Linked DNA regions of Pelodiscus sinensis. The protein of the gene in region 4 interacts with the protein of the main gene of each other region in a pairwise test. Links are inferred from orthologs where the notes say so. Each region holds a gene or a part of one and is shown on either strand. Other genes may lie near its edges. The genes, in order: NAA50, AANAT, RHOBTB3 and BHLHE40.

Region 1 (7,775 bases), on a different chromosome or scaffold from region 4:
CCGGGCCGGACCCGCGGCGCTGATCTGCAAGCGCCGCAGGTCCGGCCCAGGTCTTCCGCCGCTTTGCTCAGCGTCTCCCTGGTCTGCAGATCTGGAAGCGCCACAGTCCGGCCTGGGTCCTCCGCCGCTTTGCTCCGCGTCTCCCTGGTCTGCTGGGGGGGGACACAGCTAGTGCCCCCCCCCCCCAGCAGACCAGGGAGACGTGGAGCAAAGCCCGGTGCCTGTGGTAGAGCAGGTGGGGCGCTGCCGGTTGGTCCCGCAGCACCGCTCCTTGGCGCTACTGGACCAACCCGGCAGCACCCCAGCTGCTCTGCCCCAGGAGTCCTGATTCAGCCGCTGCTGATCAGCTTCAGCAGCGGCTGAATCAGGACGCCTGGGGCAGAGCAGATGGGGTGCTGCTCTGCCCCAGGCATCCCCAAGTTAGCCGCTGCTGAAACTGACCAGCGGCTGACTACAGGAAGCCCGAGGCAGAGTTGCTCTGCCCCGGGCTTCCTGGAATCAGCTGCTGATCAGTTTCAGCAGCAGCTGACTTGGGGACGCCTGGGGTTCTTAAGTTGAATCTGTATGTAAGTTGGAACTGGCGTCCAGATTCAGCCGCTGTTGAAACTGATCAGTTTCAGCAGCGGCTGAATCTGGATGCCAGTTCCGACTTACATACAGATTCAACTTAAGAACAAACCTACAGTCCCTATCTTGTATGTAACCCGGGGACTGCCTGTACTCTAAACGGGAGTAGGATTGACATAAAATTCACTATTAAATCTCTATGAGGGAGCAGTAGTGGGATGTTCTACTTGTAACAGAATCCCCAAACTCAGAAACCACTGAAAAAGCAAGAGTACAGAGAAAATGGCAAAGCTCCAGTAGAGAGATGGTGCAGCATGGCACACTCATGGAGTACTGCTTATAACTATATCCTGCCAAGAGATCCCAGTGTGCTCTGCCCGGATGCACACAGACATACATATAAAATATCCAAGCCCAAACAACAGCTCTGCCTGATTCACAATCAACAGAGAAAAGAAAAGAATCAGAGAAAAGCCAAGCTATACAAATCTGTGAGAGAGAGAGAAGAGACAAAATTCTAGTTCCACCAACAAAGTAGCTGACAATGATTTTGCCAACTGTGGGCTCACCTTTGCTGATCAAGCTTATCGCCCTTCCCACATACTTGCCTATGCCAAATAAAGCAACTTTGACTAGCTCCCAAGAACATGGGAAAAGAAATAGGAATCTGTCATTTCTATAGGGCCAGGAATCCATCATTTCTATTGGGCAATATTTTATTCATACATATTTCCATAAAATAATTGCACATTTGTACCTGAAGTGTGTTAAGTTTCGGGACCTGTTTTTTCAATCTCTCAGCTTTACTCTCTCAGTCCCAAAAACCATTTAAGGTGTCTGAAACTAGACATGAGAAATAAGATACCTAGGTTGCTTGATAAAAACTTGGTGTATGTGACCTTACCCCAAAAAGTTAATAACAAATGGTAAAGGGCTAAAAACTCTAAGTACTTCAACTACCATTTTACCCTGCCTTAAGCAGCCAAACTGGAATAGTAATATCTGTCACTTACATAACACTTTCCAAACAGTAATGATTTGCAACACCACTTCTGGAGCCCTCTTATTTCATGGGGGAGAAACTAACACACAGAGGTGAGATGACTTGCACAAAGTCACATAAGAGGTCAACAGAGCTGGGAACCAAATCCAGGTCTCATGACTTCCAGCCCTGTGTTCAGAAAGCTAGACCATGTTACCTCTGTATAGCAGTAGAACCAGTATTTCATTTACTACATTTAAAACCTCTATGCCACATTTTCATAAGAGAACCAGAAAGGGAGGTCCTAAACAGATAACACTGCAAAATCATTGTTAGGTGCGAAGACTAGCTTTTTGTTCCATCCACATCCTGCAATCACAACAAGTTCTAAATAAATTTTAAAGGCTACATCAAAAGCAAATACTCGTGGAAATTACACCATCTTTTCAATCTTCCCTACAAAGCAGTCACACAAAGCTGGTCAAGGCCAGGCAGCATTTTAAGACAAAATATTATTTCCATTGTTGTTCCATTGGGGACTTCTCTGAGTGACTTCCCAGATACCAATTTGATGACCCTGCTTCTATCTTCATCATCATTATTATTATTATGAATAGGGGCTAAAGAAATTGAATGCTAAAGTTAATTCACTTGCATACGATTTTTTCAAGATAGTTTCACAGAAAAGACCTCTACACAAGACGATAAGCTACATTTCTCAAAAGCAGAGTGGAATGAACCAGCTCTTTCCACCTACTATTTCTGCAATAAAGCAGATAAAGTGAGACAAGGACCAGAAGAGTTGTTTTTGGCATGGGGGGGGGGAGGGGAGAAGAGGAGGTTCCTTCCAAGAGCAAGGTGCCGAGCTTCCTGCAGTTCAGGGTCAGCGTTTCGCAGACACACACAGTGTAACGCTACACCCCAGCTGAAAACCAACAGCTTCATCTCCTCCGGCCGGCTGCACACACGCGCTCTCCCCAGGACAAGCCACAATTCAGCAGCCCGCGGGCCGGGCTCGGAGCGGCGGGAGAAGGGGAGGCGGCTGCGTGGGGCGCCCCACGCGGGCGCTGGGCGGAGAGTGGCAGGTCCCGGCGCGTGAGGGCGGTTGCACTGGGATTAACGTCTCGGCGTTTGCGCAGCTGCGCGGGAGAATCGCGCCACCACTGCCCGGGCCGCTCGCTCGCTCGCGCACACTCCGGGCCCGGGCCGGGCTCCGCGGCAGGGCACAGCGGGCCGAGGCGCGCCGGCCGGGGAGGCCGCTGTCACAGCGAGGCCGGGCGGGAGCCGCACTCACCCCTTCATGGTGCGGCCTGGCGGGGCCGGGATCCGCGCTCGGTGCGTGCGGGGCCGGCGATGCGGCTCCGGCCTCCTCCTCCTCGGCGCTGGCGGTTCGTGCTGCGGCAGCTCCCCCTGCACATGGGCCTCGGGCCGCCCGCGCGCCGCGCTCCGCCCCGCCCGCCGACGTGACCCCCCCTCACCTCACGTCCTCCTCCCCCCCCCCTCGGCGCCTGGCGGCGGCGTGACTGGACCAGCGCTGCGCGGCACCGCCCACGTGACCTCTTCCCGAGTCGCTCCGCGGGAAGAGCCTTAGCCTGTCACGTGGGCCGAGGGAGGCCAATCGCCTGCCTCCGCATCTATGACCCGTCATTCCAAAAAAAAAAAAAAAGCATTCAAAGCTAGCCGGGCTCCCGAGCCCCTCATTTCCGGGGGAGGAGGGATAACACTCGTGACGCGGCGCATGCGCCCTGGGAGCGACTGATCAGCTGATCGCTGTCGCCTGCTATTGAAGAGAAGCGGCGGAGCGAAGTGGTTCAGCTGCCCCCGCCCGCCCAGGTGAGGCCCCCCCCCCTCCCCACCCCCCAGCAGAGGCGGGAAGCCTCGAGCCGGGCGGGTGGCGCGGGGGCTGCCGGGCCGGTAGCGGGGTTGTGGGGCGAAGGGGCCGCGCAGCGACGGCTGCGGGGGGGGCCGAGCCTGGGAAGCCGAAGCGCCGCCAGGCAGAACGTGGGGCTGGAGGCGGCAGCGGATCCATGGGGGGGGGGGGGCGCAAGTAGCGCCAATGAGCGCGACAGGCCCGCGGCGCAGGCTGACCCCGCGCGGTTTCTACGACTGAGGGTCCCTCGGGAAGGACCCGGCCCCGCAGTTTCGGCCTTTCATTTCCGGAATGGGGAAGAGCGAACGTGAAAGGCCTCTCGAGTCTCTTCAGTCTAGCGCCACATGGCCTGTGTGTCTCCTGCTCCTGTGACAGGGGCGCGCTCAAGTATCCGCATCTCGTTGTCGTTTCCCTTTCTAGCGCTTTGTGCTTAGCTCGTCCGAGCCCCATTCTTAACTGAAGGGTTCAGATGTTGCTGTTGGCATTGAAGGTCAGCTGATAACTAGGGATGTAAAAAGTTGGTTAAATAGATAACTACGTAATTGCTGAAAATCTCAAGTTACATGTGGTTGGACTGTGCAGTATAAAGTTTAAATAAGCTTTATATTGCAGTGCCTGCAGTGAAGCCTCTTCTCCCTCCCCCAGCCTTTGCTGGCTCTGCTTCAACTTTTGAGCCTCCTCCCAGGGAACTGGCCCTGCCTCTGAGGAGCCAGTGTGTAACTTGTGGTAGGGGGGCGGGGTGAGCCTGCCATGGACAGGGGGTTACTCCAGCCCAGTGGTAGGAGTAGCCCCTGCCTGCGGTGGACCCCACTGGGCTGGAGCAGATCCCTGCCAGTTAACAGGAACCAGTAAGCAATAACCGTTTAAAGTGATGCTTACCGGTTAACCTTTCACAGCCCTACCAGGGTGACTCAGTTCCTTCGGGGGAGTCACTGTATGGCTCCCTATCCAGTGTCCCTCCTACACTCTGTCTTGGCATGACCATAGTAGTGGCTCTCTAATTTTCTTAGCCTTATAAGCTTTAGACCATCTCATTCTGTAATAAGCATCTCCACATGCAGAGCTGTTCCTGAAGAGCTCTATGTGTAGGCCAAGCCCTTCCTTCTTCCAGAACTCTTACACCATGGCTTTGTCTACATTGGCACCCTTTTCCAGAAAAAGGAGTGCCAATGAGACAAGTCGGAATTGCAAATGCCGCGGGGGATTAAAATATCCCCCGCGGCATTTGCATGAACATGGCTGCCGCTTTTTTCCGGTTCGGGGCTTTGCCGGAGAAAAGCGCCAGTCTCGATGGGATCTTTTGGAAAATAAAGCCTTTTCCGGAAGATCCCTTATTCCTGATCCCTTCCTGATCCCATCCTGAAGGGATCAGGAATAAGGGATCTTCCGGAAAAGGCTTTATTTTCCAAAAGATCCCATCGAGACTGGCGCTTTTCTCCGGCAAAGCCCCGAACCGGAAAAAAGCGGCAGCCATGTTCATGCAAATGCCGCGGGGGATATTTTAATCCCCCGCGGCATTTGCAATTCCGATTTGTCTCATTGGCACTCCTTTTCTGGAAAAGGGATGCTAATGTAGACACAGCCCATGTCTAAGGCTTTCTATTTTTTATTGAATATTCCCCTCCTGTTCCTCTGCCTGCACAGACATAGATAGGCCTGAGAGCAATCCTAGATGAAATAATGGAACGGCTGATAGAGAACTCCTTTAACAAAGAATTCAAGGCAGGTGACTAATGGCAGTTGGCATGAATTTATCAAAAATAGATCTGGCTCCTTTGCTAACTTGATATTATTTTTGATTGAAAAAAGTATAATGAAAATACAATACAATTGATAAAGGTCATAGTGTTGATATAACAGGTTTACGTAAGACATTTGACTTGTTCCTGCAAGATATCTTGATTAGTGAATGATAATACAAAATCAACATGTGAAATGGATTAAAACCTGATAGGTCTCAGCATGTAACTGTAAATTGAGACTCATCGGCTACGTCTAGACTGGCATGATTTTCCATAAATGCTTTTAACGGAAAAGTTTTCTGTTTAAAAGCATTTGCGGAAAAGAGCGTCTAGATTGGCACGGACGCTTTTCTGCCAAAGCACTTTTTGTGGAAAAGCATCCGTGCCAATTGAGACGCACTTTTGTGCAAAAAAGCCCCGATCGCCATTTTCGCGATTTGTGCAAAAAAGCCCCAAACAAATCTGAGCTGTCTACACTGGCCCTTTTCTGCAAAAGGATTTTTGCCTGAATGGGAGCAGCATAGTATTTCCGCAAGAAGCACTGATTTCAGACAGTAGGAAGTCAGTGTTCTTGCAGAAATTCAAGTGGCCAGTGTAGACAGCTGGCAAGTTTTTCCGCAAAAACAGCTGCTTTTGCGGGAAAAACTTGCCAGTCTAAACACAGCCATCAAGTGTATCCAAAGGTATCAGTTCTTAGCTCTTCGCTAGACAACTTCTTTTGGAGGAAAAAAATGAATAGTGATTAAAATTTGCAGTTGACAAAAGATTGTGGGAGTAGTAAATGGAGAACATGCCACTGAGATCACTCAGTAAGCTGGGGAAAGATAATGTGTTTCAATTTAGCCAAATGTAAGTTAATAAATGTAGGAACAAAGAGAATAGACCATTCTTACAGGATCAGTGACTATCTTGGGAATCTGACTATGTGGGAAAAACTTTATCAATCATGATGCATAATTAGCTGAATGTCATACTGGTAGGTAACACTAGTCTGGGCTAACTTGATCCTTGGCTGTCTAAATTGGAAAATACAGTATATTACTTGTTTGGCACCGGTACAATTGCTGATGGAATAGTGTCCGGTTCTGGTGTCAACCATTCAAGAAAGACGCTGATAAATTTTAGAGTGTTCAGAAAAAGACCACAAGAAACATTCAAAATAGTAGAAAATGTTCTGTATAGTGAGATGATGTAAGGAGCTCAATCTTTTTATCTTATCAAAGAGAACGTTCAAAGATAATGTGATTACATTTATATGTACCTACAAAGGGAACAGAATTTTGATAATACAGACAGGAATATAGCAGACAGAAATATAACAAAATCCAAGTTGCAGCTAGACTAATTCAGATGGGAAACAAGGTATCAGTTTTTAACATGGTAATTAACCATGGAACCATTCACCAAGGGTTATGGTGGATTCTCCATCACTGGACTTCTTTATCAAAAGTAAATGTGTTTCTAACAGATGCTGTAGTTCAAATACAGCTACTGGGCTTGAAGCAGGAAATAATACAAGGAAAACCACATAAACTCTGTTATACAAGAAGTCAGGTGAAGTCCAGAAGTCTCCGAAGAAATTATCTCTGAGTGAAAGGTAAAGGTCCCATCTTTAAAGTAGCACAGAGATTATACAGCATCCCACCTATTGTCTTCCCTCGGTTAAAACAAGTTTGACTATGGTGGGTATGAGCTCCTGCTAGAGAGGAAGAACAAAAAAATATTTTTTCCCCTTCGACACAACTTAAATTTTCTTTTGACTTGAAAATATTACTGACTTTTCTTCCTGCATAGTCAAGTCCACATGACCCATTGGAGGGGAACAGTGTCAAGAAAAACAGAGAATGGATTGAGATGGAATGTCATGCCTGTATGTTTCACCCTTACTCACTATGTGTTTTGAGAAGTGTGACTGCTTCTGAGGGGTAGAGTAGATAGAGGAAATAAGAATAGATGTCTGCCCTGGTGGTGCAGCTGTCAACACCTACTGTATTTTAGAGGAACAGTGGGTCCAAAATTTCTTGATCCTCTTTTCTTAGAGGTGATCAGTCACTGTGTGCGCATTGGAGTTAAAAGTGACCTGCTCAGGAAAGGAAATTGGCCTATGTCTGCATTATTTTTTTCATAGTATACACAGTTGTCCTGAAACTTTTTTCTGCTTTTTTTTCATTAAGTAGAACATATGGAACTGACACATTGTATCAGAGCAATGGTCTTTTAGTTTAATATCATGTCTGACAGTGGCTCGTACCAACTGCATCAGACGAACCACCCTGCAATATAGACAAAAAAGGGATATCCTGTCCTCAGGAGTCTTAACTCCTGGTTAATGTTCTGCAGTTTAAATGTTTGTTCTTCCTAAAACTCTTTTTAATTGCATCTTTGTATTATCTTTTTAAAGGTCTTATCCAGAGATAGGGAAAAGACCTCTGGATTAGACCTTTTTTGGGTTGGGGGCTGCTGACCCACAGAAAAAACAAACCCTCACTGACGTGGCCCCCGACTGCAAAACAGAAAGATGCTTCTCACATTTCCTTTGCGTGTGAGAGCCTAGGGGGCCCCAGCTAGTAGATTTTGTGTGCTCCAGCCCCACAGAGGGGTGGAGGGAAGGCTG
Region 2 (7,074 bases), on a different chromosome or scaffold from region 4:
AGGGGAGCTGCTCCAGTTTGCACCAGCAGAGAACACGACCTGGACTTTCTACAATATTACTTTGTGTGTTAGTCCTCCAGGTCAAATTAATGGTGTACAAAGCCTAGGGCTCTCTCTACAAAGCTGCTCATGGGAGCCAGTCGTGCGTGCGCATGTGTGTTAGTTTCAGCAAGGTGGCATTTCACAGAAGTTGTTTACAATGAACTCTGATAGCAGTGGGAGCCTGCTATCAATGGGCAGCCTTATTATGAATAACATAATAAGGAAACAATGAAAAGCCAGTTTATGTTCACCATGATTTTGTTCCTCATTCCTCTTGCTGAGTGACTTATATTGACATCCTCTGTACCATAAGAAATGCTCTTATGCCATCTTGTGGCCATTCAATGGAAATTAGCAGCTTACTATAATTATTTACAATGACCACCTACAGCAGGAGGGCTACTAAACACGAGGCCCGCACAAGGCCGGTGAGCTGAGCCTGTATGGGCTTATGCGGGGCTCAACATGCAGCCCGCCAGATGGATCCTTTGAACATGGCCTCCATTGGGAACATGCTCCACAATGGTGAGTCAATATAATGGTCTTCTGTTGATATGCATTTTAGTAGTCACATTCCTGGACTCTCATTGCTCATTAAAAGTACTGCCATATAGGTGGAAATCAGGTAAATATTGCATTTTATTAATATCAGCAGAACTGACTTAAATAGGGCCTACGTGTTGTGTAGTCGTGCCTTAATCTTTGTATTCATGCCCATCAGTGTGAAAAGCTATTTGCATATATTTACGCATATATTTGCATGTATATGCAACCACACTTAAGTTGTGGCCCTTGGCATGTGCTGTGAGTGTCATTGTGGCCCCTGGGGCTTCCAAAGTTTAGTAGCCCTGACCTACAGCCAGGGTGTCCATCAGTTCTGAAGCAGTAGCCACTATGTGCTGGTCTACAAGCAGTGGAATGTCTCCGCTACCAGGCCTGTTATTTCAAAATAAGAGTCTGGTTATTTCAAAATAACTCCTGCTTTCCACAAGGAATAATGCTAATTTCAAAATAGTTATTTCAAAATAGCATCAGTATGGAGGCTCCAGTGCCTCTATTTCAAAATAACTGCTCCCCAGAGTCATTCAGACTAACAACTCCCCAGTGCTTCCTGGAGCCCTAAGTTTAGGTAGTGCATCCACATTAACAGAGCCTGTCTCAGGCTGATTTCAAGGCTTCCCTTAGTGTGGACATGCTATTTTGAAATTATTATTTAGGGAGTTATTTCCCAGTGTAGACATGCCCTATAGTGGCTACTGCAATAGCAAACTAGCCCCACTCAGCCAGCCAAATAGCCACATGTGGCTAGTGTCTAGCATGTTGGACACCATGTACATATAGCAATATGGGAAAACATGGGAGGGTAAATGGCTATCAGAGATAACAGGTCACATTATTTGTCTGGATGTTCCAATGACTGCATTTTAAGGGAATGTCAGAGGACAGGGATCCCCACTTACAGTAAGGATGACAGGTATTTAACTTCAAATTGGCACTTCTGAGGGAGCATCACTCTCAGAATTGGGATGACACATTTTAAAGGGTGGATGCTTTCAGTAAGTGGTTCAATATTCACTGATTTCTTAGGAGCAGAGAGAGACCCAGACACGAATGGAAAGCTCTTTGGTGCAAGGACTCTGTTATATTCCGTGTCTGTAGAGCACTGTGCATGCACTGGGCCCAAACTGTCTTCCCAGTGCCAACCTAAGTAGCTAGGCTGCAGTGACCCACCCTGCTGCTACTCTGGACATGACAAGAGTCCCACTCGAGGCTGCTGAGTAGGGGCAGAGCTGCTCTGAAGCCCTACTTCATCCTAATGTTTGGAGAAGTCTCCACCATTGGGGAAGAACTGGAGACTTGCTGTGGCACTGGGACCTTGCTTGGATCCTGCACTCTGTGGCATGCACCACCTGCTGGTGCCTTTTGACCCAACTCTGCCTGCAAAGCTGATTTAGGCCTACATAAGCCTCTCCACTCCTCTGTCACTGACAGCTTCACAATCATCACAGCTCACACCCATTGGCTTAGCAGGAGCTAACAACTCTAGTTCAAACCTGTCACCAAATAGAGAAATACTACGAGGGAAGCAGAACTACACACTATGTTAGGAAGCTTTTGAACGCTATGGCTATGTCTAGACTGCAGGCTTCTTTCGGAAGAAGCTTTTCTGGAAGAGATCTTGCATCTGACAAAGTGGGTCTTTGCCCACAAAAGCTTATGCTCCAATACATGTTAGTCTATAAGGGGCCACAGGACTCCTTGTCACTTCTGAAAGAGAGTATCTACATAGCAAAAGCGCATCAAAAAAGCGATCTGCTTTTTCAAAAGATAGCGTCCACACTGAATGGATGCTAGCTCACATTTCTTGATTACTACGGATGGAGTGGTCATCAGGGCGCCTGCGCTTTTTCCTCTTTCAAAAGAACTCCCTTTTCCCTGTCCACACGTGCTCTTTTGGAAAAAGGCTTCTTCCTCATAGAAAGAGGTTTGCCAACGGTGGAAAAACCCCTCTGCTCTTTCGACTTTTTCCCCAAAAGAACGTGATTGCAGTGTGGATGTAAGTGACTTTTTTTTCCTGGAAAAACAGTTGTTTTTCCAAAAAAACCTCTGCAGTGTAGACATACCCTATATTATGTATGGAAACCACTAGTGGCAGGCTCAGCAGAATGGTGCAAGACTGAGTGACCAATGGAAGAGATTTCCCCTTTGACTCTTAGAGCTGCCCTTGCAGATCAGGGCTGATGGTCCTGACAGCCTTGGTTGAGGCCTTTACTTCACTACTCAGGCTTTGCTTATTTCAGAGACTCAGACTGACAGCCCTCCAGCCAGATACTGCCTACCAGCCTGTTGACTCAGTCTCCCTACTTGGGTATTTCTTCATGTATGTCAAGGGAGAGATTTAAACACCCTCCCTTTTTGTTCCTGGTGAAAGTTTGTAAAACAAACCCCTGAATTGGAAGCATGATGGATAGTCACTAAGCTTAATCCTGCAGGTGAATTTGTCTTCCCCACTAGGTGGTGCTCTGTACCAGTGCGTCTGCCTCCTTACAGAGTCTAGTGCACTCAAAGTAGTAAGTGCATGGACCCCAGACCCTTTTTGCTGGTGACCTGCTGTGCTTATATTGGAAGCAGAATGATGCAGCAACAATTAGAGCCAAGTCCATGTCCCAAAGCTCAGACCGAAATGTAGTTTGTCCTAAAGGTGTGGGGCTCAGATTCAAATGTTTGGTGTAGGGCCCACCCAAGGGCTCCTCTGCAGCCATCCCTCTCCTCCTGCACTAGCTGGATTATACCTTGAGATCACTGGACTTAGTTCAGCTACTGGGACCCAAGAGAAAAAGCAAATGAGGCTAATTGCTCAGCGCTTGGGGAGAGGAGAACAGAGACACTCACTTCACTTCACTTCACTGGAGTCCTGCATAGAATGATATGTGAACTGGATATTGGTGTATATTGAAACTTCATCTCTTGCTTCGTTAGCCCCCTGTGTTCCCTCTGATTCATCAGTACCCCCATTTAACTGGCCCTAAGTCAGAAGAGAGGCCAGAGGTGCTGAGAGCCATTGAACCAAACTGTAAACAAACATCTTAAAACCAAACTTTGAAGGCCCAGAACTGAGCCTCCTCACCCATATTAATGGAGACAGACTGATAACTGTATCTGGCTTCTTCCCAAGGCTGATCTTCAGCTGTGCCCTGCACAATGTGTGGAGTGCATATCTCCCCCTTTCTGCCCACAGAAAAGCAGTGTTTGGAAAGAGCAGGGAAATCCAGCTAGGCAAGTGGGACTCCAAAGACATGGGTCCATGAAATTGTGACTTTCCTGCATGTGGCTGCCTCAGGCTGTGCTGCCAAGAAGAAAGCAGTGAGGTGCAGGGGCAACTTCTCCAACTACTAAGCGGTAAGACGGTGGAATCTCTAAGCCCTGCTGTGACATTACTGTGGTAACAAGCAATCAAATGATATTGGCTGCCCCATGCTGTGCTCTGTAGAAACGGATATTAGAAGTCTGGAGGAGAGTTAGAAAAGCAATCATTGGGGCAAATTCTCACTGGCATAAACTGTCACAGGATCACTGACATCAGAGATGCTGCACTAGTTCACACCAGCAGATAATTTAGCTCACTGAGCTTTATTTGGTGATAAGTTCAATTTCATAAGCAGGCAAGCTGGAGCAGTCTGGTTCATTCTAATTACACTCCACATCTGCACAGGTTATAAAGTAAAAATGCACCAAGGAAATGAAACTCAAAGTAGAAACATTACATCATCAGAACCTCTCTCACTGGCCAAACTGCCCTGTAAAGGCAAGATACTCTTCCACCACAAATCTTAAAAGCTGCTTAAATCCTCATGGGTCTCAATCATAATGCATTACAGCAGGGGAGGGAAGAAAGTTGCACAGATCATTATGACAGCCAAGACTCCTTGGAGCGGGTGGTTGAATTTATAGGTCAGTTAATTGCAAAGTGATGAGAATGAGGGATGTAATTCTTTCCTTCTCCCCCGCCACCCCAAAAAAACAAATCATAAGCTACCAGCTGGCTACGTAGCTTGACAAATGGACAATAAAGGATGGTTGCAGACAGATGCAGAAGTGCCAGCTCTGAGCCCTTTGAAGATGCTGTGGGCGCTGCTAAATATGTAAATATCTGTAATTTGCCAGTGCTCTGATGCTGAGGTTTTGACCCCTCCACAGCTGGCAGACAGTGACAAGGAGAAATGCCCTGTTCAGTTTAGCTGTAATGGGGACAGGCTGGTTATTGTTAGTGCTATTTGCTGAAAGGTTTATTTTTTATTGGGTGAGTGTTTGTTGCATTGTACTTCTGTTTGGATTAATACTGAAAAGAAAACCAGGACTTAGCCTTAGGGTAACTGAGTGAGACTTGGAAGTTGGGCACATCCTGACCTCTTCCAGATTTACTTTAACCGCATAAAGAGCCAAGTTCTGCTCTTTGTTATTCCCATTTTACATCAGTGTTACACTAGTGACTTTAATGAAGTCACTTCACTTTTACATCACTAATTCCAAACAGGATCTGGCCCATAAAGTCATTGCTGATAACAAAGGAAGGTACCAGCAAGGTTATCTTGTGTCTGAAATATTTGCTACCATCTTGTATTTGCCTCAGCTAGGGCAAAATCCTGATGGCTTTACTCAGCCATAAAATCTCACTGCAGCCTGGCTCCTTAAATCGTAAGACCCTCAGAGCAGAAACTTTCGGTCAGATTCTGATTTTTCCTTAAGGGTAACTCTATAGACCTCACTGGAGTTACTCCAGATTGACACCAGCATAAACGGGAGCCACCTCCAGCCATTTATCTCTGAGTTTAGTAAAGCACCTTGTAGACTGCTGCTGCTGCGTACGCAGTTTTAGTGTGAAAACAGCCCTCCTGCCTCAACTGGTAGTAATTTCCTGATGCATGTCTGTTCGCAGTCCAAGCTCAACAGCATGTTCATGGTTCTGCTTTCCTAGGGCTGCCCCAAATTCTGATCCCTCGTGCTGGTTTTACACCAGGCTGACTGCAATGGCTTCAGTGGTGTTATCTTTTCACGTAAGCAAGAAGAAACACAGACTCCTTATATTTCATTTTGCAAGTCCCATGAGTCCATTTCTTGCTTTGCTAGGGATTAGCAATGTAAGTCATTCCACAACATATTTACCTACAGACAAAACCCATCAATTGACTGGAAAGCTAAAAGCTCTGCTGAGAATACTTATTAAACCCACGGGGTCAATTGCAGCTCCAATTTGTGATGCAAGTGGGTGCAGCTGCACCAAAAGCAATGACATTACAGCTGCTTTCACCATGCTGGATTTTAGCTCATTGAAGGGTCTTATGCAACCCCTATTCTCTGTCTGTCAGGGTTGAGAATGACAACCAGGGATGGCTCATTTGATGATTCTCTGTTCTATTCATTCCCTCTGAAGCACCAGGCATTGGCCAGTCAGAAGACAGGCTATTGGGCTAGACGGACCTTTGGTCTGACCCAGTCTGGCCATTCTTATGACTTCAAATGGATCTAGATCTGACCCTCCTTGCATTATATAGTGATGTGTTATTTCATGTTTTCTAGCTCTTCACCTAGTTATTGGGTCTAGCTACTTGGCCACCTGAGTTGTGCAAGCAACTCTGAGTATCTAGCAATCAGCTAAAATGCTTTATCCCCCTGCAGACACTCAAGCCAGGAAAGAAAAGCCTCATCGGATGCTTTTGCTGGCATGTCACCTTAAAGCCTCTCACCTCTCTCTGTGACTCAGCAGGGTTTATAAACGTCTTACTATTTTATCACGTGCTCTGTACATAACAAATATATAAGCAAGAGCTTCGTAAATCACAGCAAAGTAAAAGCAGTAGGTAGGTCAAAACTCACTGCTGCCTGTTTTCTCCTCTGGCGGTAAGACTGCAAGACCAGACCACGCCATCTAGAGGAACAACTCTGGCATTCTTACAAGAAACCCTGTTTCATACACGCACACAGGTAATTAATTGTCTGCAACTTTACTGAAATGTGTGGTACTGATTTTCTAGAGTGGAAAGCAGCCTGTAAAGAGGCCATTCTGTTCTCCATAGAATTGCATTTGGTGCGCTGTCTTGTAGTGCAAGGAGCTTTGTTACATTAAAATGTGTATGCATAGACATTGATTAGAATGTGGATCCCATGGTATTCCCCCAGCCCCTGCATCCATCCCAAATCTGAGCGGGTGGAGTCTTGGCGCTGAAAACCCCACATTTTGGAATAGACAGCGCTTTGCTGCAAGAAGAATTTTCAGACCTAAACTTATGGTTTGTGATGCAAACAAACCCTCATTGTTTCCACACGACCTGAGCATTCAAAGACCAATCAAAATAGATTTACATACTAGACTGGAAAGAACATTGGTTTCAGTTGCCTGTCAGTGTGTGCTTGAGCAGATGAGCACATACATCTCCATGGTTTGTATGAATGTTTAGATTCCTTCGGCACATGAATGTGAGGGATCTAATATTTGCATGTTCAATCTTGGGCAAGTCACTTCATTGCCGCATG
Region 3 (7,978 bases), on a different chromosome or scaffold from region 4:
GATGTCATCGATGTACCGTAGGTAGAGAAGGGGCAAAAGGGGACGGGAGTTGAGGAAACGTTGTTCTAGGTCAGCCATAAAGATATTAGCATGCTGCGGGGCCATGCGTGTACCCATGGCTGTGCCGCTGATCTGGAGGTATAAGTTGTTCTCAAACTGGAAATAATTGTGGGTGAGAACAAAGTTACATAGGTCTGCTATCAGGTTGGCAGTGGTGTCCTCTGGGATAGTGTTTCTAATTGCTTGTAATCCGTATTCATGTGGGATATTGGTGTACAGAGCTTCTACATCCATGGTGGCAAGGATGATGTTATTGGGGAGGTTATCGATGTTTTGTAGTTTCCTTAGGAAGTCAGTAGTGTCTCGGAGATAGCTGGGGGTGTTGGTTGCGTAGGGTTTGAGGAGAGAGTCTACATAGCTGGATAGACCAGTAGTGAGCGTGCCAATACGAGAGATGATGGGACGTCCGACCAGATCCCCTACCCACTTCTGCACCCAATTTTCCACTGTTAGCCCTGCACCCAGTGGGGCCAACAGCCACGTTGGGCCCTGGGGCAAGGTGAAAGGAACCAGATCCACACCCCCCAAAGAGGTGGAGCTGAGGGCAGTCAGACCTTAGCGCCACCCAGACTGTGGTGTTTCTTCCTCCCCCAGCCCTCAAAGCTGTGTGGAGTGGCACATCCTGTGCTTCTGCAGCAGTTCAAAGAAGTTCCAGTGCCTTTTGAGTGGCCCGGCCCCAGGGCAATTGCCCTCTTTGCTCCTCCCCCACATCAGCGGGCCTGCCTGCACCCTACTTCCCACCCAAAACCCACACCACCACTCCCTCCTGCACCTATTTTGTCAACATGGTTGGTTGGCTGGTGATCCTCAGAAAGGTTTGCACTGAGTGGGTTGGGCCACAGGCCAAAAGTTTAAGAACTACTGATATAGGAGTATCTCCAAAAGCAAACAAAAACCAGCCCTCCCTATAAAGAAAAGCAAATGAGCTAAAACTACTTTTTAGACAATGTCAGAGTTGGGGACATACACTGATTTAAAATAATACAAGTGTTAAGGTTTACCTACAAAAGAAAAACAAAATTAAAAAAATGTCTTCATATGTACTGAGACGAATTGAGGGGGGGGAGAAGGAGTAACCAAAAATGGGACAGAATCAAACTCTAAAGAGGGTCAAAGCAATTTAGCTCCTTAACGTAAGTCACATCAATACCTTAGATCCATGCTAGCACATGACAGAGATGAAGAATGGATGAAGGGACGAAGTTTCAAATTAACAAGTGCAGCACCAGTTCTATAGCTCCATCACATCCCACACCCGTTTTGTTCTCATATGTATCAATTCTTTAAGTTCTTCTTTATTGAAAAAGGTTTTCTGAAACACAGAGGAATTGGTCTTAGCAGCACAAAAAAGGCTGAAATGAATGTTGGCAGAACCGATAAGAGGAAGGCTGAGGCTGGGCTGATAACAGAACATGAGAGATTTCTGAAAGTTGTTTTCTTCTTTACTCCTTATAAATAATTCTCATATCTGCCTTCTCCAGATGTATCTTGGAGTCATATTCTTTTAAAACTAGCCAATTAGCCCGTCATAAAACGGGATTTTCAGGTCTCTCCTCCACGTTGGTTGTCTTTCCTGAGCCTCTGATCTCTCACTGCGTCTCTCTCTCCCTCTTTCTTCTCCTCCTACTGCCTCCCTCTCTCTCTCTTCTCCTCCCCCTCCTGCCTCTCACTCGGGGGACCGTGGAGCCCAAATGGCCTTTTGGGCTCCACACTCCCCGTGCTGTATGGGGAGCGTGGAGCCCAAACAGCCTCTTGCACCACTTGCTCCCATGCGGCGGCCTGGCTGAGTGGCACAGAAGTCAGCCGAGCGCCACGGCGGGAGGCGAAGGGGGGAAGACGGTGACATTCACAGCCAGGGGGCAGGGCCTGGAGCCGCTGTCATGCCGCACGTCACCACCTCACTCCCTTTCCCGCCATGGCGCTCAGCTGACATCTGCACCACTCAGCCAGGCCGCCACGGGGAAGCAAGCGGCCGTTTGGGCCCCGCACTCCCCATGCAGCACGGGCCACCCAGAGGGAACAGTCAGCATTTCAGCGTTACAGACTCACAGACACTGGGCTACTATATATATGATGTGTATACGTTCTTATGACATTCCTATGGCCATTCATGCATGGCAAGCAAATCATTCTCCATCAAATATTCCTGCAGCCCCTGCAACTAGTAGAAATACCCCCATGGCACTTTCCAGACTTTTTACGAGCTGATTATGCATAAATCAAATAACTTTACAGCTCTTTCAGGCAGTTCAACCACCCCAGTTACAGCTCAGCCCATGTTTTTATTTCTAATTAAGAGTTTATATTAATTATTAGAGTCTCAGGACTACATTAACTTGAGCAGGGCTCATTCCGCTTTCACAGCTAGCTTTGTTAGGCAGGGAATTGTACACTCCTGATTTCTAGTACTGATTCTAAATGTAACATTTTCAAACATACTGATCGTAACGACACAGGAGCGCGCACTGGGTTCCTCCCCCCGCGCCGTCATACCTCTTCCGATACGTCACAGACAGAAACCCCACTGCGCCGCCGCAGCAGCCTCAGAGGCCACCCCGCAAAGAAAACTACAACACCCAGCAAGCACCGCGCAAGGTGACCCTCATAACCCGTTTAGAAGAGCTCGCGCCAAGCGTTCTCCGTCAGTAGAAAACAACTGTCACGTACCCCTGGATGCGTCCGGCAACAGCGGCCGACCCTGCCAACGGCCGGCGAGCAGCGCTTCAGCCAAAGGTGCCGCGGAGAAGCACGTGACAAGAGAACTCTAGGCCAGCGCAGCACTGAGCGTCATGTGACACGTGACGAGCTCGTACCTGCGCGTCACGCGAGGGACGCCGGAGGATGGAGCCGGTCTGCATTACCCCCTGGCGGGGAGGCCGGCACTGCAGTGCGCGTGGGCAGGTGCTGAGCGCTTTGGAGACCGGCAGCCGTGGGGATCTCATCCGGCCGGTGGAGCAAGTGGGGAGGGGGTAGCTCCACGCCCCGGAAGGGGTGGGGCCTCTGGCGGAAAGAGCGGGAACCTGTAGCCTGCTCTCAGGGCCAGCTGGCAAGCGCCTGCTTTCGGTGCTCCAGCCGTTAAGGGGCTGCTGCTGCAGTAAAGGCGGCCAGGAACTCTGAGCCAACTGGTGACTTGCCCTGCTCTCTCCATCCTCCCTTGGCTGAACAGGGAGCTGGTGCAATAGTGTAACCAGAATGGGACAGGTGTGCGTGGGCAATGAAGTGGAGAAGGGGGATTGGGAGCAATGGGAGCCTTGGAAGAAAGGAAAGGATACACATTTTACTACAGTAATATTTTAGTAATGGCCTCTTCTGCAAGTGGAGATAATATTTTGTTGATCCACTTTATTCATAATAGGCAATGTCTTGGAAAATTCAGATGAGTTCTTTACCACCAGACACTTGGATCATTCCCCTCTGGTTTGTCATACTTGGAAGCATTAAACCAGAACCCTAGATATAATTTAATTCAGCACCCACCATACACACAATTTGAACACAAGAGACCTGCTTTGGAAGAAAATTAAAAGGTTAAGAGAAAAAAAAAACCTAATTCAGAGATGACATAGAGCACTGTTTCTTAAATTCTTTGAGATCATGGAACACAAAACAATATTTTTGTGTAACATCTATGAAAATTTTCTTCAAAACAAAAAAATTTTTGTCAGACAAAAAAAGACAAAAAGAAGTAACAAAAACAAGAGGTCACAGCATACCTGTGAGTTGCTCACGGAACACCAGTGTTCTGCGGAACATAGTTTAAGAAACACTGACATAGAGGGCAAGCATAACTATCCAGGTTACACAGAATATAAACATAAATATAAATATAATCTCAGACTTTACACTTCTATATTAGGTAAAATCCTTTGTCTAGTACAAAGAAAACCAAGAGTAGGAATAAATGGTCAGTTTTCACAATAAAAGTAAAAAGTGGCATTCCTATGGATCTGTACTGGGACCAGTGCCATTCAAAATATTCAGTAATGATTTGGAAAAGGGGAAATGGTGAGGTAGAAAATTTGTGCGTGCTACAAAATTATTCCAGATAGGCTAACTGTGACGAGGCTAACTGTGACGAGTTATAAAAGGATCTCACAAACTGGGTGATGGAGAAAGAAAATGGCAAATAAAATGCAATATTGATAAATGCAAAGTAATGCACATTGGAAAACAATCCCAACTATCCATTCAATAGCATCTAAATTAGCTGTTACCATTCAAGAAAGATATTTTTGGAGTCATGGGGATATTTCTCTGAAAAAAATCCAGTGTGTGCAGTGTCAGTCAAAAAAGTAAACAGAACGTAGGAACCATTAAAAAGGAATAGATAATAAAAAATAAAGTAGTATAATGTCAACATATATCTCCAATGTATGCCCACACCTTGAATACTGCATGCAATTCTGGTCACCTCATCTCAGAAAAGATATAGAAAAGATGAAGAAAAGCACAATGAAAATGATTATGGGTATATAATATCCCCACAAAGAAAGATTTAAAAAACTGGATCTGCTGGAAATTTAGAAAAGATAATCTACTATATATTTTGGAAATTTTGACTCTATGTCTATGGGTTTGTTCGTTCAAGAGCTCTTAAATGGTAAGAGCTAGGATCACCAGTTTTGGTAGGCAGCTTTCTTTTATCACAACTCAAAAACAAGGTAAGGTTTTGGTTGTGCCAACTCATTGGCACAGCCAAAGTGCCTGGAATTTGATTGTTTCTCATAAAATGGAAAGGGGGGGGGGGTCTGATCAGAGGACAATTATATTGTAGAATGACACGGAGGGTAGCAAGAGGCCAGAATAGGAATGTAAGCAACTAGTCGAGTCACTGTTTCAGAGGCAGCAAAGAGGTGAGGGGGAGCAGGAGCTGGTCCTGGGGAGGAGCCAGCTTAGAAGGTGGTGTGGGGAGAAGCGGGGCAGGGGAGGCAGAAGCACAGTGGTATGGAATTCACTGCGGCTCTGCTTTTTAAATGTAGTAAGAGCCCCCTGGCTCCCAGACTGCTGCCCTAGGTTCTTACTACATTTAAAAGGCAGAGGCGCAGTGGGGGACCCGGTGCGAGCCAGGACTCAGCAGATATGGTTTACGCCAGGTCCCAGACCACTGCGCTTCTCCTTTTTAAATGTGGTAAGAGCCAGGTGGTAAGAGCCAGATTTTAAAAAAGCAGAGACACAGCAGTCCAGGACCTGGCACAAGCCGGGTTCCGAACCTACTGTGACAGACCGGGCTGGGTCTGGGCACAGCTGAGGGCATTTGCTCAGGGCAAATTGCTCAAATTCGGGGCTCTCTATAGCCCCCCAGACTGGAGACCTTTCCAAATAGGCCACAAACCAATCCCACAGAGCACTTCAGCTGCCTGCCTGGCCAGCCAGCAGCCTCACAAGCAAAACCCCTACGACACCCCAGCAATATCCGTGCCCCAGATGGCCCCAGGCCTCATACATAAGTGAGGGATTTAGAAACCAATCTCTCCTTCCCTTAACAAGTTCTGTCCGGTTCCAAGAAACCAGCCACAGATCCCAGGTCAATTTATACTCTGCACCTTACCCACACACAGACATTATACAAGTACATGAATAACATATATGGAATCAGAAGAAAGTATGCTTCTATTTGACACTTCACATGGCCCCCTTTGTACCACTTTTGGAGCCAACAACCCCTGCCCCATGGGTGCTGCAGTGATCTGGCTGCTTCCTTAAAATCCAGTAACATGACACCTACCTCTGCTGTAGCTCTGCAATTTATATGTAGTCCAGTGGTCACGTAGTAGATCTTGGAGCCTTTGACAGGTGACCCTGACTGGTTTGGCCAAGAGGCTATCAAGCACAGCACTTCAGCTGCCCCTTCCCCCGTTCCTGTGCAACTCTTGCCCTTTGCCTTGGAGTTGTCCCTCCTGCTTGCTGTGCAGAGCAGGGGAGATAAAGGCGGGACGCTGATGTCAGGATGCCCCCTCTCCTACCCTGTGTTCTATTTCCACAGAATGGAGTGTGGGGGGGACAACAGGGCTTGAGAAGGATGGAGTTTGCTGGCTACTTTGGAGAGTGGTACAGAGCCAGGGCAGAGGTGAGACTGCCTTAGCCTCCCTGCCCCGCCACCCAGGGGCCACCTGTGATAAGTAGTGTCCAGCTATAACCCCATTGGGCCAGCAGGCGTTAGGGGTGGAGAAAAGGACAGGTATTTACTATATATTTCAAAGAGTTTTTATGTCTGTCCCCCAGTTGGGGGACATGCACTCCTCCCCCAACTGTCTCCCACTGGCCCAGTGTTCCCTGCAGTGTTTCAAAGCAGCAGCACCACATGAAGCGTGAGGCCAACGGGGGACTCACCAGCTGGCCCTCGGCTCCACAGGGCATTTCAAAGCAGCAGTGCCATGTGGAGCCCAGGGTCTGGTCCAGGGCTCCATGTGGTGCTGCCACTTTGAAGCACTTCTTCCTCTCCCTCCCTACCCTGCTGCATCTTTCTGATAGAGGCAGCGGCAGGGGGAGCAACTAGTCGACTAGTGTGTCGACTATCCAATAAGCATTTGCTTATCGGGTAGTTGACTAGTCGTTCACATCCCTAGCTGGGACTGGACAATTTAATGAATCACTCAAAATTGCCCTGCTCTGTCCATTCCCTCTGAAGCATCTGGTACAGGCCACTGTCAAAAGTCCTGGGCTTGAAAAACAAGCACCCGAGTTTTGGGATCACATTGTTATGAAGATACAGGATGACAAGCAACAGCTGCAGAAATTCTGGATGCACAAAGCCATCTTCCAGCAACTGTTCGCAGAGTTTTCTCAAACCCTCCACCACAGGAACATCAAAATGAGAGCTGCAGTAACAGTAGAGACATGAGTGCTGATCGCTGTGTGGAACCTGGCGACACCAGACTGCTGCTAATCAGTTGTGAGTCAGATCCGAGTGGGGAAATCCACTATGGGGTTTCCAGTGATGCAAGTGTGCTGGGTCATTGTCTCCTGCGACAAAAGACTGTAACTTTGGACACTGTACATGAAATAATGGATAGCTTTGCAGCAATAGGATTCCCTAATCATGGTGAGACAATAGATGGCACAAAAATTCCCATTTTGGCCTCAGACCACCTTGAGATGGAGTACATCGACACAAAGGGCTAGTTTTCTATGATATTGCAATTGCTAGTGGATCGCTTGGATCATTTCATTGACATCAATCGAGAGTTCAGTGGGCAACTAGGTTGGGAGTGAGATGGAGCTATTTCTACCTGAGCAGCCTGCCCAGGCTTGGTTGTCAGGGGCTGGAGCTGAGCAAGCCAGAAGCTCCCTCATCTCATGGCATGTTTCTGTGTATGCTACTATAACACTTCAAATGTACCTACCTGTTGGTATGGACTCTGAATGTTAGTGTAACCCAAACAGGCAAAACTGAACCAGGGACCTTAATCAGGAGCTTAATGCATGAGCCTCTAGTACTTGAGTTATAAAGCCAGGTGGCTCTCAGCTAAGGCTGTACAGCAAACTCATTTTTCTTGCTCTGTAAGTGGTCTAAGGGCCACTAACTGGACAGTGAAACACACCCAATAGGTGTGTGAGTTACATTAGCAGTAGTCATCATATGTTGGATAATTATTTAAAGATTCATTCACTTTCATAAATTCAATTTTATTCCACACCCATGCAAACATATTTATGTATTGGTTATGTAAACTTCATACACAGAGGGAAAAGTATTTTTAAAAAAGAAGGAACAGGAAATTCACAAGCACATTTTCCAGGGAGGCTTTCAGAGTTGTGGGTTTGTCCAGCTGTCATTGTGCTGCTGTGGCTCCTGAGGAAAGGAGGAATGTGGGGAGAAGGTTGTGGAAAGGTCTAGGAAGGCAATTCTGTATGGGTTACAGAGGGAATCAGGCATAGATGTGTTCAGACTGAAATTCAATCAGGAACTGCAACATGT
Region 4 (7,807 bases):
AATGCTCCATTTACCAAGGAGCTTAACTGTTGCATACTGTCTTTGGTTTCCAGTAAAGCTGTCAGTACTTGATGAATGATGCTGTACTGTCTAGCTGACAACTCCCTGTTGCCTCCCTTAGCCCTTTTAAAATTTTTCTCACTGCAAAGACTGGAGCTGAGATCTGGGACCTGCCTGCATGGGAAAAGAATTGCCGCACCTACTTACTAAAGAATAAGCCTATCTTCCGCCACTCCCATGTAATGCAGACAGGACTACCTGTTAAATTAGAATTAAGCAGATCCCATATAAACCTTTTACTTCTGTAGAAAGTAATGAAGGTTTATTACATAGGACCTTACACTCAGCACTATATGCTGAGAACTAGCCACTTCCATTCCTCTCCTCTTACTCTGGATACCCTTAGCTTCCAAAAGGTTTTTGGTATTTGATGTGGCTGTTCTTTAACCTCCGGTGCCAGTAACATGAAACGAGACTGTTGGAAATGAGAGAGGGAGAGTCAGTTATTTGATTACAGCCCATGGGCACATGCCTGGCCTTCATGGGTATATTAAGTAAGAGACATTTTAAACAAAACCGCCCTCAGTAACCAAAGGTCTGAATCCACTACTGTCTGTTAACTCCCTGGATTCCCCACATATTCTTAAGAGTGTCAATGATTTGAAGAACTGTATTACTAACATCTGTAAATAACTATAAATCTCTGTTGGACACAAGTTATTATTGTTGTTATCCTATGGCATCAAATGCTCTACAACTACCATTGGAAATGCCAGATTGTCCCTTAATGGCTTTAGAAAATAATGCCATTACTTTTAACATTTCATTATAGCTTCAATCAGGCATTGTAAAAAAATCTGCCATGGAGAAATGGCTCTGCAAACAAAAATTAAAGTGACAAATTAATGATTGCATCAGCCCGTGAAAGCTGTGCCAGGCACTAGGAAAGTGTAATTTAATTCTCCCACAATCTAACTTGATGCCCAAGAATGTAATAACTTCATTTGGGACTCTCTTTCTAGGGGGGAATCCAAAATCCTTGGCAACTACCATTAAGGTCATCAGTGAAACCTGACAAGGCACATTATTTGGCAAACATACCAATAGTGAAAGAGCTAAATAATGGGGGATTACCTCTGATCCTGATTTCTAGCTCACCACCCATTCCAGGAATGTAGTGTCTCAAAGTACCTGTAAGAGTCAAACAACCAGTGGGCATGAATTTTTCCACATATATTTTTATTTTAAATCTAAAACTTAGAGGTGGTGAAAAGTATCTGCCCTTGAACCAAAATGCTAGAATTTGCCAGTAGCAATCCCCTACCATAACTCTACTTATTTCTATTGTTTAATAAAGACAAGTAAGAGAAGAATAAATGAAAGTATGTTAAAAGCTTAAAATTAAATAGCTATATCTATACATTATTTTTAAATGCCCTCACCTGTGGTACAAATAAGCTTAGAGCTTTAAACCAAAGGATTTTAATGCCTAATTTATTTTTCCACTCTTTATGCTATTTGTTTGCTTTACAAAACTCTGCTTTACCAATTAATCAGTTTCACTTTGTAATAAGTGTTAATGAATTTATTTAACAACAGCTGTAGATTAACATTAATAAAGACAATCTCTGCTTTTAAGAGCTTTCAATTTAAGGGCCTGATCCTGCAAGTGCTTATTCACGTGCTTAACTTTTTAGGCACCAGTAGTCTCTTTGAAGTCAATTGGACTACTCATATACTTAAATATATGCTTAAGTTTGCAAGATCGTGGCTGAAGGGCCCAACGCTGCAGAGACTTGAAATCAGTGAATTGATCATGACAGTGAATCCTATGCAGGCTTGGGCTATAAAACACATATGAGAGAACACTCAGTGAGAGAATAGTTAGCTTTGTTTTGTGGTTCTTGGTTGGTAGCTATACTGTACTGTTTAGGCTGCAGACACCACAGGGGAATTTTTCTTTCCTACAAGTAAGATTTTTACCAAACCTCCGCTTTGGGTCTACAATGACCTGACAGGGTTTCGTTAACTGAGTCACCTTCTAGTGTAACAAGTCTACAACTCTAAACCCCTTTAGCACTTTTGCCACCACACATGCATTTAAATGACAGTGTATCCGGAAATGAGCATGCCATCTTCTCTTACATAAATGCTGTCTCCAGTCTCTAGCAAAGTCTTTGCTGACTTCAAGATTCTAGCCACAGTGACTGTCACAGGACTCTCAGAGGAGATAGGGAAATCTTTGATAAACCTTGGCTGGTTTTGTTATTACCTTATCTAGTAAATATACCTTCTTTGGAGTGATCTGTCCTCTCCTTGTTTAGTATGCAGAGGAAATGACAACATATCCTCAAAACAACAAGCCTGCTTTTGCAGTTACACTTCACTATAATCATCCTAAGCATTTGTACAACAGCAGGCAGACAAAAGTCTTAAATGCTTGACAAAGATCAAAGAATTAAACCTCCCCAGACACCTATGAAATAGGTAAGAGTGTAATATTTCATAGCTGGTCCTAGTTCTCAGCTATTCTGCTCCTGCTCTTGGGGAATTCAGAGGCTGCACAGGGGAATCCTAGTTCCCAGTTAAAGGTTTCATGTATACATAAACATGTTGCTGCTTAAACTTAGCTGATTTCACTTTGCTGAATAAGCAATACCAGTAAGCAATGCTCCCTCTAATCTTTTCCATCAATGTGCAGAATGTGCACCTCCACTAGAAACAAAACCTACCTGTGGGCGCCCTGCGGCATTTCAATTTCTCCTGAGTGGCTGCACAATCACACAACTTAGAGCAGGGATTTTCAAACTTGGGTCACAGACCCGCCAGGGAAAGCCCCTGGTTGACCTGCAACACTTTGTTTACTCTAAAGCTCCACAGACACAGAGAGAACACTTTGACCCTAGTTTGAAAACCCCTGGCTTAGAGGGAACACTGCTGGTAAGTGCCTTATAGTGGGCCCATAATAGGCTCTTATGTCAGTAAAAGAATCATACATGCTTATGCTGATAAAAAACTTTCTCAATGTAGATCAGGCCTAAATTACGGTAGCCTCAGCCCTGAGATTGCTGTAATTATATACTCTGCTTCTCTGCCCCCTCCTTCCCCCTCACATCGCCTGTCACATTACCAGTTGTCTTAAATCAGCCACTGACTTGGACAACTGCTCCAAAGGAGCGCACCGCTGAATTCCAATTGTTGGTCACTCTGCCTTTGCCCTGGGTTCAGCTGCAATCTCCTCAGCCCAGACCATGTCTGAGTGCTACTCTGCTAATGCCAGAGTTCACACAAATCCCTGCACCCCTTAATACCAGTTATTCTCAGCGGCATTCCCAAGCCTGGGTATTTCCCTCTAACTGTAGAAATGCACATAGAAGATAATGCTGTTGGCCAAATTCTATGCTGCATTTTATCAAGCCATTAACCACTGCATTACTATAAAGTACAGACTTTAAAAAATAATTAAATTACCTGACAATAGATATGGCATGTTCTGTGTCTATTCCCACTGGAAAGCTGCTATTATTGCATAATAGCTCAGCGGTGGTAGCCAGTTTCTTTTAGTGGGTGGCAAAGTATTTGTCTGTAGTGGCATCAGGGGCCTTGTCCCAATCATTTCCCTGCTGTTTGCTGGGATTTTCAGTCAAAAGCACTCAGAAAATGCATTTTTAGCATATCAGCTTATGAATGTCTTCTCCTCGTCCTGTTTTACACCACTGAACATGGAGAATCAGCTAAATACGCTGCAGTCGGGTGCAGCCGACATGCTCTGCCTCTGCCGGTTTCCATGAACCTGGAGCACTGCCCACTCTGCTGGGAATAGTGCTAGGCACTGAGCCGCTTCAAAAGCCTTTTCCACGTACCAACTAATTCATCCAAACAACCCCTGTGAGGTAGATAAGTTAGGTTTTACTCTCCAACCTCCTATTTTACTGAGAGGGAAGCTAGAGCTCAGTAGTTAAGTGAGGTGCTTGAGGCCAAAGAAGTTGTCTTCTGACTAGGGAAGGGCATTAGGAGGGAGCATCTGGAGCGTCTGGTCTCCATAACCCCTAGACCTGCCACAACACCCTCTTCTGTGAGATCTCTGCAGTTCTACATGGGGGTCTCCCCAGCAATGTTACCTCTATTCTTTTTCCGCAGCGGGGCAGAATAAGTTTTATGAGCACTGCGGCATGTGCGGATGTGCACCACCAACAGGCACACATGCTGCCAGCGGTGGGGGCTGTGCTGCCTTTGAACCTCCCCATGGTGTGCAACCCATTTCTCAGCTTACAGGGAGCACTGGCCATCACCCAACCCTCCCCACCCCACCTCTGGACACCCCCTCTTCTGTCCCTCATGCCCTCCCCCCCCGCCACCTGTGACACCCCCGGGCGGGGACACCCAACCAGCCTGCCTCCCCGCTGCGCCACCCCAGGGTGAAGGCAGAGAAGCCAGGGCCCGCAGGTGCCACTTGCCCACGACTCCGCAGGGCCGGGGCGAAGGAGGGAGGCGCCGCGGAGGCGGGCAGGGCAGCCCGAGCCCCTTCGCTCGCTCCCCTCGCAGCCCGGCCCGGCGGAGCTGTCGCTGTCGCTGTCGCCCCATCACGTTCGGGCTGCTGCTGCCGCCGCCTGGCGTGCGCGGCGGGGCGCCGGGGAAGGCAGGCAGGCAGGCAGGGCGGGGAAGGGGGGAGGCGAGGCCGGAGCGCTGTCCGACACGTGAGGCTCATGTGATGGGGGAAGGCAGGGCTCTCCCGCCCCGGCCCAGACAGACGTGCCGGGAGTCACAGGGTAGAACACGTAGCGCCAGCCACCCACTCGCTCCCATTTAACCCAGCCTGCCGCCTGCCCGCGACTCCTCAGCTCGCGCCCCGCACCGAGATGGTCCGCGCGCCGTAGCCGCCTGCAGCCCCGCAGCCCGTCCCGACGCCCGCGGCTCTGCCACCTGCCCGCGCCCCGGGGCTCTCCGAGGACCCGTTTCGCTGCTTTCGGCCGGAATTAAGTTGCAGCAGAGCCCCCCGCTGCAATGGAAATGATCCCCAGCGCCCAGCCGCCTCCTGCCTGCCTGGGCAAGCTGCCTGCGCTGGAGAGCAACGAGATGCCCGGGTAAGATGCCTCTTCTTTGGGCCAGTGCTCCCCGCCACCTCCCGGGGCGCAGTCTGCCTGCTGGGTTTGGTTGGAACTCCTGGTCCTTCCCCCTGTGCCTGTCGGGCTCCTTGCGTTCTGCATTTGCCCCGTGTGTGTGTGTGTCTGTCTCAGTGTGTAGGGCTAATCATGCTAATTCATCGCACTTTTATGTCATCTGTGCAGGCTGGCCTTTTCTCACATGTATCAAGTTTACAAGCCCAGAAGAGGGTTAAAAAGAAGTGAAGATAATAAGGTAAATGGAGGAATTGCTGAATCTTTGCATTGTTAGTTAACACCTGTGTTCATTTGAAAAAATGAAGTTTTATGCATTAGTGTCTGTCTTTCGGGTTTTTTTTAAATCTGCTTTTTGTATAAAGCTGAACTCTTACAAAATTTGCTGAGGGATTTAGGAGGGTTGTTTTAACATTAGACAGTTTGAATCAAAGTTTTTTTTTTTTTAATGTTATGAGGCTGTTGCGCTCACACCTATTGTCCTTGAATCTGGGGCTCAGAAGATGAGAGGGGAAAATATTTATTTCAGTAGCTGTTACATACAATACTTTTGGGTACACAGAAGCTTGAGGTCTAATTTTATTTCTAGATCACCTTTTACCATGCGTCTATCCATGGTGCTAGGAAGTCATCTTGTGTCTTGTCTGATTGCTCCTTTCTTTTGGCTTCCAGGAGACCTATAAATTGCCCCACAGACTGATAGAGAAGAAGAGACGTGACAGGATTAATGAGTGCATTGCCCAACTGAAAGATCTCTTACCAGAACATCTCAAACTTACAGTAAGTGAAAATCTGGCTAATATCCAAACTCCTCTTCCTTTTGGGGATGTGCCTTGGTTAATGGATTTCTGTGCCATCTAGAGGCTTCATCTCAGCACTGCAGATCTAAGTGGAAAAGGCTATGATTTGGGCAGAGTTGCCACATGGATCTATTACAATTGGTTTTCCTTGCAGATACTGTGAATTTCTAAATAGTGTATATCTGTGGTGGTGGTGGGATGATGTGAATTAAGTTGCTGCAATATTAAAATAAATCATGAGGTAAAAGTGATTGTTGTGGGCTTGATTTGAATGTGGGGGGATTTGTTTTTTTTTTTAAATTGAGCCTCTGAAAATGTTCCTTCTTGCTCTTTTTGAAGTTTTACTGGATGCCATTTATAAGTTGATCCCTAACTTATCTGAGAGTCAAGTCCCTTTAGAGATTGCTTCCATACTTGCATTCTCTGTGTTCTTGTTCTGCAACACATTTTAAGGTCAGCCACTTCTGCTTCTGTAGTGTGTGTGTGAAAAAGAGTAAAAGCTTAAGTGCTTGATTAAAATTAAAAGAAAAAAAATCTCTTCAGAAGTTATGGGGAAAGCCATCTTGGCTGACATCCTGCAGGACACCCCTCTCCTGTCACTGTTCAAAAGAAACCCTTTGACTGGATCCCCCTGTGTTAAGGTCATGATACCAGCAGGGGCAGCAGAATAGATAAATAAAATAGTTGTTTGAGAGCTATGCAGTTGGTTCTAAAACACCCATAGGGTGTAACTGTACCCTTCACTGCAACCCTCTTTTTTATTTTTTAAGTTTACATAATATGTGGATCAGACTCCAAATGTTAACATTGTTGCTCAAGACAACAGATTTCACTGAATAAAGACACCGTTTTTAACCTTGTCCGCCAAATTGCAGCTCACTTTTTCTTATATATATCGCAAGGAATTGAAACCTTTGTAAGATTCCTTGAAACGTGACTGACTCTAAAATAAGTACTAACCTGTCCATTTGTTTCCAGACATTAGGTCATTTGGAGAAGGCTGTGGTTCTTGAGCTTACCTTGAAGCATGTGAAAGCACTAACTAATCTCATTGAGCAGCAGCAACAGAAAATAATTGCTTTACAGAATGGTTTACAAGCTGGTGAGTATTCAAGTCATGCTTGTATCATGTGAGAACCCTGGACTGTCTCATGATCTTACTTTCAACATCTTTGAAATACTGGCTACTTATGACACTTGGTTTGGGAGGTGGGAGGAGTAAGCGTTTCTTTTTTTTTCTTTAGCACGCAAACCCCCCTTTATGTACATGTGGATTTATGAAAAGATATCATTTATCCATCTAGTCAGTTAATTTATAACTAGCTGTGAAGTTGAATTTTAAAGTATATTAAATTGATTATAGCTATTTTATTTCATAGTACAGTTTTGCTGTGAGGGCTTGATCCCAAACTGATGGGAGTCATTCCATTGACTTCAATAAGGTTTGGATTAAGCCCTGATTCCTGCACCCCCCCTAAATATGAAAACATCTCTCTGACACATCCTTTTTGGTTTCTCATTAAGTTAGTTAGTACCCAGCTGAGCTGCAAAGAGTGGGCTATTTAAAGGCCCACTGTATTTTACATCTGTTTTTTCCTTCCCCTTCTTTGTGACACTGAGTCTGGCAGGATAGAACTGGTTTTTCTAAAAAGACTGCTATTGCTTGAACAGCCACTAGATATGCAGCAGAATTACACAGCCAAACCCAATATCACTTCCCAAAGTTTAGACCAACCCCGCCGCTCCCCAGGTGCATGCAATTGATTTGGGACGATTTGGGCCCTTTGTACTCAATTTTCATTAGCTGCAGATGAGCCAGATATTTCTTGCAAATCACTTTGGAACTGATGTCTTTCTGAGGTGATACCAAGGCTTATTCACTGTGCTGCC

The links.
Region 1: the proteins of BHLHE40 (region 4) and NAA50 interact in binary tests that used the Homo sapiens proteins (3 or more experiments, as listed by UniProt). The two-hybrid records come from large-scale screens. The link is inferred for Pelodiscus sinensis from reciprocal best matches to the Homo sapiens genes BHLHE40 and NAA50.
Region 2: the proteins of BHLHE40 (region 4) and AANAT interact in binary tests that used the Homo sapiens proteins (3 or more experiments, as listed by UniProt). The two-hybrid records come from large-scale screens. The link is inferred for Pelodiscus sinensis from reciprocal best matches to the Homo sapiens genes BHLHE40 and AANAT.
Region 3: the proteins of BHLHE40 (region 4) and RHOBTB3 interact in binary tests that used the Homo sapiens proteins (3 or more experiments, as listed by UniProt). The two-hybrid records come from large-scale screens. The link is inferred for Pelodiscus sinensis from reciprocal best matches to the Homo sapiens genes BHLHE40 and RHOBTB3.

The regions. Positions count from the first base shown.
Region 1 is NC_134711.1:141,203,746-141,211,520, reverse strand, and holds the start of NAA50 (N-alpha-acetyltransferase 50), read right to left. Parts: upstream 3,015-7,775; 5' UTR 2,852-3,014; coding exon 2,844-2,851; intron 1-2,843. UniProt on the Homo sapiens protein: N-alpha-acetyltransferase that acetylates the N-terminus of proteins that retain their initiating methionine. Has a broad substrate specificity: able to acetylate the initiator methionine of most peptides, except for those with a proline in second position.
Region 2 is NC_134730.1:10,216,742-10,223,815, reverse strand, and holds the start of AANAT (serotonin N-acetyltransferase), read left to right. Parts: upstream 1-4,064; 5' UTR 4,065-6,525; intron 6,526-7,074. UniProt on the Homo sapiens protein: Controls the night/day rhythm of melatonin production in the pineal gland. Catalyzes the N-acetylation of serotonin into N-acetylserotonin, the penultimate step in the synthesis of melatonin.
Region 3 is NC_134716.1:71,203,536-71,211,513, forward strand, and holds the start of RHOBTB3 (rho-related BTB domain-containing protein 3), read right to left. Parts: upstream 3,009-7,978; 5' UTR 3,003-3,008; coding exon of another isoform or gene 2,874-3,002; intron 2,867-2,873; exon of another isoform or gene 2,728-2,866; intron 2,522-2,727; exon of another isoform or gene 2,500-2,521; intron 1,352-2,499; exon of another isoform or gene 1,222-1,351; coding exon of another isoform or gene 1,211-1,221; intron 1-1,210. Other genes in the region: RFESD (Rieske domain-containing protein), read right to left, coding at 2,874-3,002. UniProt on the Homo sapiens protein: Rab9-regulated ATPase required for endosome to Golgi transport. Involved in transport vesicle docking at the Golgi complex, possibly by participating in release M6PRBP1/TIP47 from vesicles to permit their efficient docking and fusion at the Golgi.
Region 4 is NC_134721.1:16,269,835-16,277,641, forward strand, and holds the start of BHLHE40 (class E basic helix-loop-helix protein 40), read left to right. Parts: upstream 1-4,795; 5' UTR 4,796-5,004; coding exon 5,005-5,084; intron 5,085-5,288; coding exon 5,289-5,358; intron 5,359-5,789; coding exon 5,790-5,897; intron 5,898-6,895; coding exon 6,896-7,019; intron 7,020-7,807. UniProt on the Homo sapiens protein: Transcriptional repressor involved in the regulation of the circadian rhythm by negatively regulating the activity of the clock genes and clock-controlled genes.